Alligator mississippiensis: one gene and its partner. The protein of the gene in region 1 interacts with the protein of each later gene in a biochemical or structural test. Links are inferred from orthologs where the notes say so. Each region holds a gene or a part of one and is shown on either strand. Other genes may lie near its edges.

Evidence for each region.
Region 2: the proteins of UBE2M (region 1) and DCUN1D5 form a complex in vitro, tested with the Homo sapiens proteins (3 studies listed by BioGRID). The link is inferred for Alligator mississippiensis from reciprocal best matches to the Homo sapiens genes UBE2M and DCUN1D5.

Annotation. Positions count from the first base shown.
Region 1 is NC_081828.1:75,598,480-75,606,076, forward strand, and holds the start of UBE2M (NEDD8-conjugating enzyme Ubc12), read right to left. Parts: upstream 3,134-7,597; 5' UTR 2,671-3,133; coding exon 2,562-2,670; intron 1-2,561.
Region 2 is NC_081824.1:441,125,907-441,133,691, forward strand, and holds the start of DCUN1D5 (DCN1-like protein 5), read left to right. Parts: upstream 1-4,730; 5' UTR 4,731-4,837; coding exon 4,838-4,923; intron 4,924-6,218; coding exon 6,219-6,310; intron 6,311-7,785. UniProt on the Homo sapiens protein: Contributes to the neddylation of all cullins by transferring NEDD8 from N-terminally acetylated NEDD8-conjugating E2s enzyme to different cullin C-terminal domain-RBX complexes which is necessary for the activation of cullin-RING E3 ubiquitin ligases (CRLs).

The DNA of each region.
Region 1 (7,597 bases):
TCTGCTTTTCTGAAGTCCAGGGTCCTTACTCTGTTGCTCTTCATCCTTCCTTTCCTCAGGATCCTGAACTTGATCATCTTGTGGTTGCTGCTGCCAAATTGCTATCTACTACTACATTCCCCACCAGTTCTGCCCTGTTTGTGAGCAGCAGACCAACAAAAGCACAGCACCTAGTTGGCTGCTCCAGCTTTTACACCAAGAAGTTGTCCCCAGGACTCTCCAAAAACTTCTTGGATTGCCTACATACTGCTATATTATCCTCCTAGCAGATATCAGGGTGATTGAAATCCGCCATGAGAACCAAGGCCTGTGATCAGAAAACTTCCACTAGTTGTTTGAAGAAAGCCTCATCCACCATTTCCTCCGGGTCTGGTGGCCTATCGCAGACCCCCAGCATGACATCATCCTTGTTGCACTCTCCGCTGACCCTAACCCAGAACTTTCAACAGGCTTATCTCCAGTTTCATACTGGAGCTCTGAGCAATCATATGGCTCTTTTACATAAAGTGCAAGTCTTCTTCCTCCTGTTCTCCCCTGCCTGTCCTTCCTGAACCCATCCATGACAGTGCTCATCATGCGAGCTATCCCACCTAGTCTCTGTAATCTCTTCCCAGCAGCCTATTAAATGAAGGCCTGTCATCCCACCTCTAGGTGCTAAGAAGCAGTTTTGTTCTTTACGCCACTAACTAGTGGCCAGAGACTGAAGAAGGTTTACCCCAGTGGTCAAACATCCAGGATGGAGAACCTATGTTCTCCATTCTTCTTCGCCTCCTGAAGGATACCCCAACCCTCTGCATCAACCATACCCTAAAACTAATAAGAACCAGCCCCATTTCACTGCTTCCCCCCCCCCCCCAAAAAAAAAAAAAAAGGACCCATATGGGACTAGGCCTGGTCCTCTGTACAGGATGTTTCAGGGAAGACCAACATATCAGGGAAGCTTCAGGGCTAATCAGAAACTACAGACAAGACTGACACTGCTAGACTTTTCTGTTTCACTAGGTCCTTGATGGGGCATTTTGGAAGAGGGGAGAGGTCATATTTAAACCCTGTCACCAAGATTCTGGCCTTCATTACCAAGAACCATGCAAGCCCTGGGTTTATCGACTGCCACAAAACTACTGGAGATGCAAGAAGGAATCAATCCAGCTTGTGATTAGCGCAGAAGAAGGAACAGAACCAAGGACAAAGATCAACATAGAAAGGGCACCAGGGCTTCCAGTCTCAGTACCAACCTTTCCGATGGTGGGGAATAGATCTTGACACCCAGGAACAAACCCCTGAACCATGGGAGTTTAATAGCTTTTCTGGGGTCCAGGACCATGAACAAAGCACTACCCAGGATTCTTGCTGTCCTGTCTACACTGCAGAAGTGGGGGCAAATGGTAGCTCTCTGGGTGACCTCTAATATTGCTATGAAGAAAGGTGCAAGGAGCTGTGCTGCACGGCATATCACCAGAGGGCTCTTAGGGGTCGCATAACAGAGGCTTCTCAGCTCTTAAATCACAAGATGTGCCAAGGTAGTAGCAATGGCCAACATGGCAGCATGGGGCAGATCCAGGTCCCGTGTTAAGGCAGACCCCAGCTGTAACATGGGTGCCCAGCAGGTGCATAATCCAAGGGGCACACTGGAGAGGAAAGCAGGGAGAGCAGGAAGAGAGAAGATGGCCAGTGGGGCTCAACATGAGGTTCCACAAATGAAAGCTAAGGCTGGGGGTATTTGATTGATGTGCTTACATCTCTGCCAGTACTCAGAAAGCCAGGACGTTTTTGACTGGAGGATCTTCCTCTTCCAGTCAGAAAAATCGGTTCAATTGCCAAATTTGGGGTCATGAAGGAACAGTTCTCCTTAGGCAGATTAGCATGGACTGTGAGAAGGTAGCATCCTTCTCCAAGGATATTTTGAACAAATGTTAACAAGTTATGCCTATCACTCATCTCCCCTGCTTTCACCATCGGCAGGCTGAATGGTGTCTCTGGTGTCATACCCTGCAATTGTGTCAGGTTTTGAAGCAGTGACACTGAGGAATTCTTGGCTTTGCCTGGAACTGCAGGGAACTGGTCCCAATGGGCCAGGATGGCCCTCTCAGCCCCATGCCCCACAAGCATGGCGCTGAGGGCTACTCAACACACCTGGGAGGAGAGCTGGGCCCCACTGGGAGAAGCCCTTTACAGGGGGTACAGTCCAAAGGTGGCTCCCAGCATGAGGCAGGTGGGCGGCAACCCCTGGTTCCCCCCATCCCTTCCCAGGGAAGGGCCCGCAGCAGGCAGGAGAACAGGAATCCCGCACTGTCCGGGGCAAGGCGGGCGAGGTCTAACCCGCGGCCCAGGCCAGGAAGGCAAGCGTGGATGTCAGGCAGCCCGGGCGGTGGGGGGTAATCCCCGCGCGGGGCCCGGCGGTACCTTCCGGGGAGGGGGTGGGGACTGCTGCCCCAGCCAGGCCGCCCCACGTGGGCAGGACCGGCACCAGCCCCCGGGGCCGGACCAGGCCGGGCCTGCCCTGGGAGCGCGAGTGGGAGCTGGGCCCGTGGCGGGCAGACACCCCGGCCCGGCCCCGGCACCTTTCTGGATGCGGAGCTGCGCGGCAGACGCCTTCTTGCTGCTGCCCTTGGTGCCTCCGGCCGACTCCTCCTCCTTCTTCTGCTGCTTCAGCGAGAACAGCTTGATCATCCTGCCGGGCCGCGGGGCCGCGCCGGGCCGGGCCGCGGGGGCAGGGGGGCCCGGGGCGCCGGGCCGGGAGGGCGGGGCGGGGGCCGCGCCGCAGCCGCCTGCTCCGGGCCGGCGGGGCAGGGAGGGACCAGGCGGGTGGGTCCCGGCGCCGGGCCGGGCTCGGGCTCGGGGTTGGGGCCGGGCTCTCGCTCGCTGCCGGGGCCGGGGCCGCCCAGGCTGCTGCCGCTGCGGTGTGTCGGCAACGGCCGGCCCCCTCGGCTCTTTCCGCCACCGCTTCGGCTCTTTCCGCCCCGGCCTCGGCTCTTTCCGCCTCCGCTTCGCCTGTTTCCGAGCCCGCTCGCCACTTTCCGCTCGCCACTCGGCGCGCCCCGGCCCAAGCCCGGCACTTTCCGCCCCGCGCCTGGCACCGCCCACCCCGGGCTCGGCTTCTCCCGGGCGCCGCTCGGCTGTTTCCGCCAAGGCTCGTCTCTCTGCGGGTGACGAGTACCCGGCGGGGACGGAGAGCCGCGCTCTAATAGGCCCGGCGCTCAGCTGTTTCCGGCCGCTGCTGGGCTCCGACTACGGGCGGAAGGGATCCAGGGGGAAGCGACCTTCACCCGGTCGCCATCTTTATTGAGGGCGCGCCATTTCTGTTCCGGGGCAGCGGGCGGGCGCGACGTGAGCACGTGCAGCCGGTGATGCTGCGTCCCCCTCCCTTCACAGCCTTTAGAAAGGTGTCGGCGTTTTCCGGGCGGGGAGGGGTTGTGTGCGTGGGTCACAGGCGAGGACAGCGCAACCTTATGCCAACAATTAGGGTCACATTTGGCCCTTGAATGACTCACGGGTTTGGAACTGATTTGGCTTAGAACACGAAAAAAAATCCTTAAAAAAAGAAAGAAAAAAAAGTTGCGTGCCAACACCTGTGGGGTGCCCAAGAGTTGGGCGGCATGGGCAGGAATGGCTGTCTGGACAGCATGGCCATCGGGGTGTACTGCAGCCGGCAAGGAGTGGGTGGGAGCTGTCGGGCGTCAGGGCCGAAAGGTTCCACGGCAGTTGGCAGGGAGGGCCGAGGCAGCTGTCAGGCATCGGGGCTGGAAGGTTCTGCACCAGTTGGCAGGGAGGGCTGGGGCAGCTGTTGAGCGTAAGGGCTGGAAGGTTCCACGGCAGTTGGCAGGGAGGGCCGGGGCAGCTGTTGAGCGTCAGGGCTGGAAGGTTCCGCGGCAGTTGGCAGGGAGGGCCGGGGCAGCTGTCAGGCATCGGGGCCGGAAGGTTCCGCAGCAGTTGGCAGGGAGGGCCAGGGCAGCTGTTGAGCGTTGGGGCTGGAAGGTTCCACGGCAGTTGGCAGGGAGGGCCGGGGCAGCTGTTGAGCATCAGGGCTGGAAGGTTCCGCGGCAGTTGGCAGGGAGGGCCGGGGCAGCTGTCGGGTGTCGGGGCCGGAAGGTTCCGTGGCATTTGGCAGGGAGGGCCGGGGCAGCTGTTGAGCGTTGGGGCCGGAAGGTTCCATGGCAGTTGGCAGGGAGGGCCGGGGTAGCTGTTGAGCGTCAGGGCCGGAAGGTTCTGCGGCATTTGGCAGGGAGGGCCGGGGCAGCTGTTGGGCATCGGGGCAGGAGGTTCTGTGTCAGTTGCTGGGCAGAGGGCCGTTGTCAGAGCCAGGAGGTTCCTGCCTGGTGGGGAGTGGGTTGGCAGGCCATGTTGGGGTTGGGAGGGATGAGGGCAGCGCTCTGGTTTTATGGCTGCCAAGGTTCCACATTGTTGGGCTGTGGAAGGGAAGTTGGTGATGGTTGGGATTTTAGGTCTGGAAGTTTCTGAGGCAGAGGATGGGGTGAGGGCTCTCTGGTGTCCTGGCAGATGAGGAAAGCTGTGGGGGAATTGGGCAGGAGTCTGAATTTTGCAGCAGCCAGGGCTGGGAAGGCCCAGAGGGGACTTGCTGGAATGCTGTGGTGAGACAGTCCTGTGGTCCTTGGGTTGTATGCAGAAAAGGTCTGGCTGTTAGGGCCAGACAGTTGCATGGTGGTGCTGGAACAGGAGGGTGGAAAGCAACTGCCCAGGATGTGGAATCCTGAAGATCCTGTAGCAGCAGGGGAGTGAGAGGTAGCGGAATAACAAGAGTCAAAATTACAAGTTTCTGTAGCTCCAGAGGAGCAAAAGTAATGTAGGGGTCTATGAGGCTTTCGTGACTGAAGCATGGAGGGCAGTTTTCAGGATGTCAGTGCCAGGCACTGCTGTGGCAGTTAGGGAGTGGAAGGGAAGGATGACAAATGTCAGAACCATATTACCCTCCCTCAGTCCTTTAGTAATCAAGTTGTGTATCAGCATTCCTTTGCTGTGCAGGTTGATGTCAGGCATGCAGTATGTGGGTCATCCTGTTTACTTGTATTGAATATATGAGCATTAGTTTTTTCCAGTCCTGTGGAATTTTTTGAAAATCAATGTTAATAGAATTCTTCACCGTTTATGATTCTTGGATAGATGCAGGTTATCCAGAACTGTTGATTTAAATATTTAGTAGCTACTATTTCATGTTCTCCTGAGTTATTATGGCAGGGCCGTCCCAGGGGGGCGGGTGAATCGGGGTGACTGCCCTGGGCCTTATGCTTTGGGGTCCCCATGGAGCCAGGTGGGGCGACCGTGGTGACTCCGTGCTGCCGCCGTCTACATGTCTGGCCACTTGGCACCCCCACCCATTTGCCGCTCAATCTGCTGCTGGCTTCCTTGCATCCGGGGTTGGGGCCCTGCACCCTGCTTGGATCATCTCTGACTATTGGAATGGAAAGATTTTCTTTATCGTAGATGGTGTATTCATACCATGTTGGCTTTCTTTCCCATCTAGACAAGAAATATCTTTTTTGTTCTTTTCTGTGTTATTCACAGTTCTACTATTTCCATCTAGTAGTGGGCAGTTAGTTTTTTAAGCATCTTTTCATTGTGCATTTAGTTTTAAAATTTAGAGGTGCACCAATATATCAGTCCATCTCATATTGACATTGATAAAAGGAAAATTGACATTATTGACTACAAAAAGCCGACTGCTGATAATTTCACCGATAAAAGTCGCGTGCTTGTGCGTGGCTGTAGCATACACGCAGTCAGGGATGCACCCCGGCAGCTTGGATACCAGTGTCTAGCTGGTAAGTCTGTTGGGGGGAGTTATGTGGGGGAGGGGAGGGGTGTGGGGGGGACAGATCAAGGCTCCCACATTGAGCAAGGGAGTGGGGGCTGGGGCTAAGTTGTGGGCAGGCACTGCCTAGCTGGGACAGGGTGTGAGACAGCCCCAGCGGGCGTGAGGGGCCAAGGGGTGGATCCTTACCAATGTGTGCGCCCATGGGGAAGGCGTGGGAGGCATGTGCCCCCCAGATTTGTGTGCAGGATGAGGGCAGGCTGCCTGCTGTGGGCTTGGGGCCAGGGGCTGTGATAGCCTCTTACTGGCAGGGGGCAGAGGGGGGCTGGGGCTACGCTCAAGGCAGGTCATGGCAAATTTTGGGGTGGCTGCAACCTCCCCTGTAAATCTGCCTCCCAGCACCATCCCTGCCCACCCCAAGCACATGCCCTACATGACTCCCCTGGGGGTGAACGCAGCATCAGGAACTGCTCTCCTTCCCCCTCACGCCCCCCGGACAAGCAGCCCATGGCTCCGCCATGCATTCTGCCTCGGCTGGGCAGCGCCTGCCCCTGTCCCAGCCCCAACCCTGCTCTCTCCCTCACCGTAGGGGGCCTTGATCTGCCCCACCATGCCCCTTCCCTCCCCAACAGACTTACCAGCCAGATGCTGCTCTCCAAGCTGCTAGGCTGCATATCAGCAATTGGATCTGTACCTGATGTACCTGGTTAATAATCGGCTGTTGGGATTGGCCACCCTTATTAGAATTTATTCCGATTGTCTTTAAATCTGTTGGCCATCAATTTCTCTTTGTGCTGTTTTGATTTCCTTATTGATTTTCTAGAATTTTTGGACTGGATCCCATTCTGTCTATTCAGTGCTTAAGAGCTTGATCCTATTGCAGGCTTCTCAAGCGCCTGAAAAAAATGATAATGTGAATATGCTTGGAATGTGTTGTTATCCTAGCCTGAAAATTAAATCCCAAAAAAGCAGTGAGCAATAGGAGGATCCATCTGTCTTTTGCATTACTTATTTTTCAGGGATTCAAGCAGGATGGAATAGGATCATGCTTAGGCATCCAAATAGATGGATCTAGCCCCTAGCTTCTGATTTATATTTGTTGATCTGTCTTTCTTCTATTTTCCATTCATTATTTCTTACTTCTTTTTATACCTGCTTTCATTTCTTTTGTAAGCTAGGTTGGTTTTAAACCACAGTCACCTCTCTCAGTTGTAGGACTGTGATTTTTCAGGGCTTAAACTTTCCCAAGTATTATTCATATATTATTTTTCAATACATTTTTCCCAGCTGATTTAGTTCACAGTTGTTTTCAGTTTTGTGAAACTGACCCTTTTAAACATCCAAGTATATCTTTTTTGTTGTTGTTTGGACTTTATTCCGTTTGCACATTAAATATATCTTCAGGTAGAAGGCAAGAGAGATTTGCACTTTATAGTCTAACTAAATTAGAGAAAGAGTATAAGTTTTTATGAGCTAGAGCTCATTTCATGAGATGCTTTGAAATGATGTGCCACAGAGCTGTGTATAGAATGGAAAGAGATTTGAATACAAAAGAAAGTTAGAGAGGGTCAGTGCTGGAAGAGGCAAAAAAAAGAACCCATAGGAACAAAGTAATCACAAAAACTAATTTAAATGGGATAAGAATTCTTAATCCCTGTTTAGAGCATAACACAGTCTAGTCTGTGTTGGATTTTAAAGGTTTTCAAGTTGGATTTTAAAGGTTTGCTGCCTAAGAACAGCTACCCTGAGGTCAGCAATGGATTGTCCAGAGAAGTTTTTACGTGTTCTGCCCAGTGGCCTTTGTGCCTATCTGCAGCTGATGTCTGTTTG
Region 2 (7,785 bases), on another chromosome or scaffold:
CAAGAAGTTGAATAAATAGAAGATAATGGACAACAAAAATGCAGCTTTTGTAGAAAACAGTGATTAAACCGAGGCTTCCTGCCTAGTGATTTTAATTGATTTGATTTGATTTCAATCAAATCCATCCTAGAATCTGGGTTCAGGGAAGTTGTGCACTCTCTCTATATATGTTTCTTACTTAGTCTATAAAGGTGTATAACTAAGGGTGCAGTGATACAGATTTTTTGGGCTGATACTAACGGCCAATTATTAATGAGCCATATCAGCCGATACCAATCCCATCACTAATATGCAGCCCAACATCTTAGACAGCAGTGTCCAGCTGGTAAGTCTGTTGGGGGAAAGGGGCAGGGAGAGGGAAGAGGTGTGCAGTGGGTTGCAGATCAAGGCCCCTGCAGTGAGGGAGGGAGTAGGGCTGGGACAGGGACTGGGCGGGGGATGGAGCTGTAAGCAGCTAGGGCGGGGGGGAGGGGGGGAGCAGCTCCCTCCGCTGTGCACACCCCAGGGCAGGCATGGGAGGCACATATCCCCCAGATCAGTGTGCGGGGCAAGAGACCAGGTCAGCACCAAGCTCTTCTCGGCGGGGGGGCGGGGGGGGGGGTGCTGGGCCAGGGCTGTGCTCAGGGTGGGTGGTGGCAGCGCCCCACATTAAACCTGGGACACTGGAATGCCCAATCCGTTTCCTTTCATCAAGATCCTTGGCAGGCTGCCACTGTGCATGCACTGAGAGCGCTGCTTGAGCAGATGAAGTCACATGAGCAGAGGTCCTGGGAGAGAATCCGTCTTGTCCACAGCACTCTACGCACACTTGTCACCACATCTGGAGCCAACAGCACTCAAGATTCCCTGGAAGCACAACTCAGAAACTCCAACAATTTGGAAATGTGAATGCACTGGCTTTTCTACCTCATAGTGGCCCTCAAAGTTGAGGAGAACAACAGTATATGGAATAAGATACAACCATAGGCAGAGATAGAAAAAAAATTGGAGGGAGGGGGTGCTGAGTGTGTGCAAGCATGTGTACCCCCCCGCAAAAGTTTGTGGGGGAAGGGGGGGCAAGAAGCAAAGCTGGGGCTGGGGCTGGGACTGGACAGAGATTGGGGCCGGGGCCTACTGCACCCATGCAGCCGTTTCTCCACACCAGCCCCAGTCACAACAGGTAATGGACTACATTAGGGGCCCAATCTTATGAAGTTCCCAGAGGCTCAAGTGAGGCCAGCCTTGACTGCGCTGCCAGATCAGAGGGGACAGAGCCCCCAGGACACCCACACCTGCCCTGGGAAGAGTCCAGTGACTCCTCCAGAGCCATGGCACCAGGCCCCCAATCTTTGCACAGGGCAAGGGTGGGCTACAGCTGCGCTCTGCCTGCTCCCCACCTCTGCACCTCACTGCAGCCTTTGAAAGCGGCACAGCACCATGTGCGTCCCACTCCTGTGCAGGCCAGGCAGCGAGGCACATGGTGCCGCTTTCAAAGGCTGCAGCGAGGTATGGAGGCAGGGAGCAGGCAGAGCGCAGCTGCAGCCCGCCCTTGGCCCCGTGCAAAGATCAGGGCCATGGCTGCCCCCCCACCACCTTAGCTATCCTGTGCCATGGCTCTGAAGGAGCCGCCGGGCTCCAATTGTCCCACAACCCAGCCAGGGCCCCATTCACCGTGAATGGGGATCCATCTGGGCAAGTTGTAGGGCAATCAGAGCCCAGCAGCTCATCCTGGGGTGTGGCACAGGGGAGCCCTGCAGTGAATTCAGTGGCAGGAGCCACCCTCCCACACCCCTATACAAGCCGCTGGGCTCCTGTTGCCCCACAGCCCAGCCCAGCTGGGGCCCCATTCCCCGTGAATGGGGACCCAGCTGGGCCAGGTCATGGGACAATCCCCACAGTGCAGCAGAGAGCGGGGCAGGGGTGAATGATTTGCCCCTGCCCTTACTCCACTCCCTCCTACACTGTGGGGGTTTTAAGCTGCCTCCCCCAAGCCCAGGCAGTCAAAAGAAATGTACAGGCATGCTGTGCTGGGTTGACTGATCCTGGCATGCTTCTCCCCCCTGCTCCAGCAGCCTGTGGCTGGGCTGCCCTGGTGTTTGTGGGGGGCTGAACCTCGTTAGCCCCCCCCCCTTACACCACCTATGGATGCAACCTGCTATGCTGTGGGGGCCACTCTAGCTGGTGCAGTAGTGCTACTGGTCCAGGCAGATGAGCAGTGACTGATGGGAGCACATTGTCCTGGCCACCTAGGATGACAAGCTGTGGCACATGAACTTCTGTATGACCTGGGCAATCTTTATGGAGATTTGCATTGAGTTGACCCCCCAGCCTACAGTAGTAAAATACCAGGATATGGGAGACCCTTGACCATGGAGAAGCACATTGCCATCGCTGTGTGGAAGTTTGCTACACCTGACACTGTAGGGAACTACTTGAGCATTCAGAAATCTACAGTGGGGGAAAATGCAGTTCAGGAGGTGGGCTTGGTATTCAAGGATGTACTAGGACCACAATTCATCCACCTTGCCAACCCACAGGTGGCTGTAAGGACTTTCCCAACCCCATTACCGTTTTTGGCATCGATATCACTAACTTGTCCATGGACACCGAGCCAGTGACTAAACCAGCTGCAAGGGTGTCTTCTCTGTGGTGCTGCAGGTAACCATAGACCTCCAGGAGAGTTTCATACACATGAATGCTGCGGCAGTGGGGGAAAGGGGGGGAAGGGATTGAGCAAGGGTCATGATGCCAGGGTATTCTACAACTCTGGACTCCCTGAGCTCATGGAGAGGGGGAAGTTTGCCCCTGAGATTTCCAGTCCCTGAGATTCCAAGCATTGAGGTGAGGAGTGACCACCCCCACTGCTAACTGAAGACCCAGCATACCTGCTCCACCCCAGGCTCATGAAGCCTTACACCTTCTTTACCTACTTTCTCAGCAGCTGCTGCATAGGTGTGGGGTATGTCTGTGTGTGCCTCAGGGACCACTGGCAAACATTAGGAGTCCACTTGGATGTAACCCAGTGCTGTCACCTCTACCTGCATCCTTCATAACATTTATGAAACCAAAGGAAAAATTTTCCATGAAGCCTGGGCTGAGGATGCATGGGAGCCGGCACATCACCAGGTTGCCACAGCTCTGGAGCACCCAGGGAGTCAGGAAATGCTCGAATGTGCTGGTGCAAGAAGCCTTAGCTATTCCAATCCCACAGACTTCAGACCCATGAAGGGAATGAGTAGGGGTTGGTAACCTGGGGCTGGGTATATTTGCAATTTTCTGCTTCCCCTTCTCACCTACACAGGAGTTCCATGAAGACCAATTGCTTGCAGATTACTGAGCCCTGTGTGGTGGTACCGAAACTGGGGGCAACCAGTTGTGGAGTCGGTCCCAAAGCAGCTGCCACCCAGGAAACAGAAGCAGGGGTCCGGACAGGCCACCAATACACAGTGATACCTCCACCCCAAATAAGCCTGCCAAGTGGGGTTCATGGCAGGCAACTGAAATGAACTAAGTGGCTTTCCAGGGAAAGTCTTCTTAAAGCAAGCCCTTGGGGTACCCCCACAGCACCCAGTTCCCCAGGATCAATAAGCAGGGATCCAGATAACCCCCCAGCACCTTATGACCCCCCCACCCTCACCCCCAATGAACCTGAGATCCTGCTAAGGGGGGGGTCCACTGCAAGCCACTTAGCTAAGCAGCTTTCCAAGTGGAATCCTAAAGCTGATTTTACCCAACCTATGGGGCAACCCTGGAGTAAGGGTGCATGCCTTAGCCAGCGCAAGCAATGAATGTTTGGGCAGTAGTTCTTTTGCCCTACAGGGGTTAGGCTAGGGTTGAGGAGCAGTGCAGACTGGGATGCCTGGAGGACTAAACAGACACCAGTTATGGAAAGCTCACAGTTCCCATAAAGTCAATTCATCGCAGGCCAGATTCATAAGAATTGAAGTGCTCCATCCTAAACCATCCTGGCAGGTGTGTCTGCTTGCTGGCATATTAAACCACCTGCAAGACAGTCCAAGCATCGAGCCTGTCCATGCCATGGCTTTGCTCCAGTGGGCTGCCCCAAGAGGACGCAAGGAGGTTTAACACCACCACTTCCTGCAGGCCTGCGTAGCTTCGCCATCGCTCCTCCGGTACTCGGTGAACCTGACTGCCCACCTCCAGGCACTGCATGCAGCTGTCTAGGCCACCAAGAGACGCTGCTCGCCTGCAGGACAGGGCAGGGTGCTGCGACGCGCCTCTGTCCTGGGCGGCAACAGCTGGAGCATCAGGGACTCCCGGGCCTCAAGGCGTCCCCTGGCCCCTCCCCAGGATCTCCGTGGTCTGCACAGAGGCCGGAACCGGCCACCATGCCGGGCCTGGCCCCGGCTCCCAGCACAGGGACAAGGCCAGGCGGCTTAGGAGCAGCACTGCCAAGTCCGGGAAGGAGAGAAAAAAAAACAAACAGCAGCACTGCCTTTAAGAAGAAGCCCAACCCATTTCAAAGAGAGGGGAGTGGGGGGGGTCGCTCCTCAGCCACCGCTCTCCAGCAACTAAAGCACCTTTTCAAGAAGACAAACCTCAATTCCATTTATTCTAAGATTTGGCAACCGGTTTAATAGCATGGAGAGGGGGCGGGGCCTCCGGCAAGGAGGCGGAGCTCGCCGAACCCTCTCCCACTGCTGGTCCCGCCCCCCAAGGCGGGCTCCCCGCTGGCCCCGCCCCCGCGCGCTGTCACTTCCTGCTCGGGGGTTCGCGTCCGGGTCGCACTGCCGTTCCCTGGAGCCGCCGCCGGGTCCCCGCTGCCCGCTCGTGTGCGGCGCGCGGCTGCCGCCGGCCGGGCTGTGAGGGGCGGGGCGGGGCGGGGCGGGGCGCGGCGATGCCGGTGAAGAAGAAGAGAAAGTCGGCGGCGGCAGCGGCGGCAGCGGCGGACGAGACCGGCCTCAAGAAGTGCAAGCTCGGCAGGTACCGGGGGCGGGGGTGGGCCAGGGGCCGCTCGGGCTCGTGCTGCGGGCCAGGGGGCGTGTCGTGGCCCCTCAGGGCCGTGCCCCCAGCGCCGCCACGGAGCTGCGGGGCCTCCGCGGAGCATCGTCCCGGTGCTTCGGCTCTTAAGAAGCCTCGGAAGGGCTCTTGCAGGGGGCGAGCGGGGGACTGGGGAGGCCAGGAGCCGGGTAGAGCCGTCCCGGGGGACCAAGATGAAAGGGGGGGGGTTGGTTTCATTTTTGACATGTCCAAAGGCTTGCAAGAAGCAGCTCTCAGGTGCTGCCCTAGGGTCGGTGTCCGAAACCCCACGAGATTCGTTTTATGGTCACGTTTGTTACTACTTTTTTTTTTTTTTTAATCTTAAATGGACGGAGATGTTATTGCAGTGCATGCAGCTCATCACACCAAGCACCATCTTGCAACTGGTTGAATAGTCTCTCTTTTTTTTCTTTTTTTCCTACTGAATTTTTAACATGAGGCACTGGAAGACCAGTACATGCAGCATCTCGCGGGGATTCTTCTTTTCTCAGTTTGACACGTCTCATTTTCAAATTGAATCATGAATCAGTCACCTGGTTCCAAATCCCCTTTGTCATTTTTCACCTTTTTTTTTTTTGCAGGGGGTGGGGCAGTGTAGCATAAGCTGAAAAGATTAAATTCAACACTTGAAACTCAAATCACAAGTGCTATAGTTTTGTATTAGGGTAGAGATATGAAGACAAGTTTTAAATTACCCCTGGCTGCTGTTTGAATTGCAAGAGTTGTTATTATAAAATAGCATGATGTCAGCTCCAGGGTAGAGGGAACTGTGCACATCCCGGTGACGCTGTAGGAGAGTTCAGGCTCTTAGTACTTGCATTGTAGTGTTGCTTGTTATGGTTTGTTACTTCTCTCCATACATATACAAACCCTATGACTTCTTTAAATGAAATGATAATGTGAATGATGTGGACTTTAAATTGAAAAAGTGTGTGTAACTGGAGTATTTGAATATAAATAGCCTGAATTTCTTGTTGAGCTCTATCGGTCCCATTGATTTAAGTTTGATTTGTGCTGCTTAGTGCTTCTGAAAGCCACTTGCAGTTCAGTATCTGTAAAACTGATAACACTTGGCGCACACATATGACATACGATGTCTAACTGTAGATATAAAGATGCACGCTGTTAATGTTAGCTTGACCTAATAATAAATAGCTTGAAATTCATTGTACAAAATCTTTTTAAACATGAGGAACAGTAGATATAACATCTTGGGTATCTTTGTATATTTCTATAAGCTATTGCAGATCACAAGCCTCTGGTAAAGTGATAAGTGGAGAGGAGCATTTTTCAAGCAAGAAGTGCCTGGCCTGGTTTTATGAATATGCAGGTATGAATGTAATAGCAGCCATGTTTAAATGTTAATATGGTTTACTGGGAATGGTTAAGCTGATTTAACTAAACAAATTTAACTAAATGTATGCCTCTTCACATTAATATTTTTCTGAATACATAGACCACAGGAAGCATGCAGATTCATATTTCTTGAATAGTTATGTTTACCCAGCTTCTTGTGTATCTCTTTCTTTTCCATCTTTGTCCTTTCTTTCCCACTTAACCAACACTTCAGTTACCTTAAGTAAAGTTACAGTAATAGGCAACTGCTCTTACACTGTATAGTGGTGATTCAGATATGTGTCCTTCCTATTGATTTTTTTTTTTTTGGTGCAGGTGGGTAGTATGGACATGGTTCCCTGTACAGTTTCATTGCATTCAGTTTAAACAAAATTAAACTATGCAGTAGATGAAACAATTAGGGGAGCCATTAAATAGTTAATAATTCTGTCCTATCTTGTTTACACTACAGCAAACTGATATTGGCTTATACTTATTAATTTTTGTGCAAATCTGTATATAACTAACATCTCAAACGCCAAAGGATTGTTACAAATATGTTAAAAGAAGCTCTCCTTTAACTGTTTTGTAACTAATTGTTCATCTTAACAAAAGTATCTCCTTTGCATAATTTATTAAACACTCATGGGGAGAAGGGTGGCTTTTTGTCTCCTGTTCATTAACAGTTTCCAAGGCCCAATTTAATTGTTTAATGATTTGCAGAGCCTTCCTTTTTTAGGCTGCTTGATAAAATCTATCATAAATAGTTGGATGACAGGATGTCATTGCTAGCCATTTCCAATGAGTTCGTAATTTTTATTGGGTAGAAATTGGATCAAGCATCTGCATCAAAACTGACACTAGTTAGTACTCCTATTGACAGCTTTTCCAGAAACGAAGTAGTAGTAGAACTACCCTTTTAGCCCTAACAGTGATACCTCCAAAATCAGGTTTGAGGCATATTAGCTTGGACTCTCTATCTGCCACAGCTTTCTTGTGAGGAAACTAAAGGATTTCAGTCACTTGGGCTTGTGGTTAATAATGGTTTTGTATGAACTAAATGCAAATGGCATTTAGTTTTTATTATATGGAGTCTTGGGGTATAAACGGATGTTGCCTTAGTGCCGCCATAAAATCTTTTATGGTGGCACAAAGGCCAAGCAGACAGACTTCCATACCCCTTGTCACACACCACAAATGCCCAAAGTTTGTGGCTGTGACATGGGTATGTATGATCTTATGCAACTGTTTTGAAGCCAACCTCTGTTTGTTTTAAGGCAGGAGAGTGCAGGCAGCCTGGAGCTGCTCTCACTCTCCAGCCACCCCAGGCAGGTGCCCCCAGAGCTTCAGGGGTCTGATTCTGGCATGCCCTGGAAATCCCCATTCCTGGGGCATGTGGGACCAGGCCTCTGAACCCCCAAAAGCTCATGTCAATGCTCCAGTACAAAATCTTATACTCTGGCTGATCAG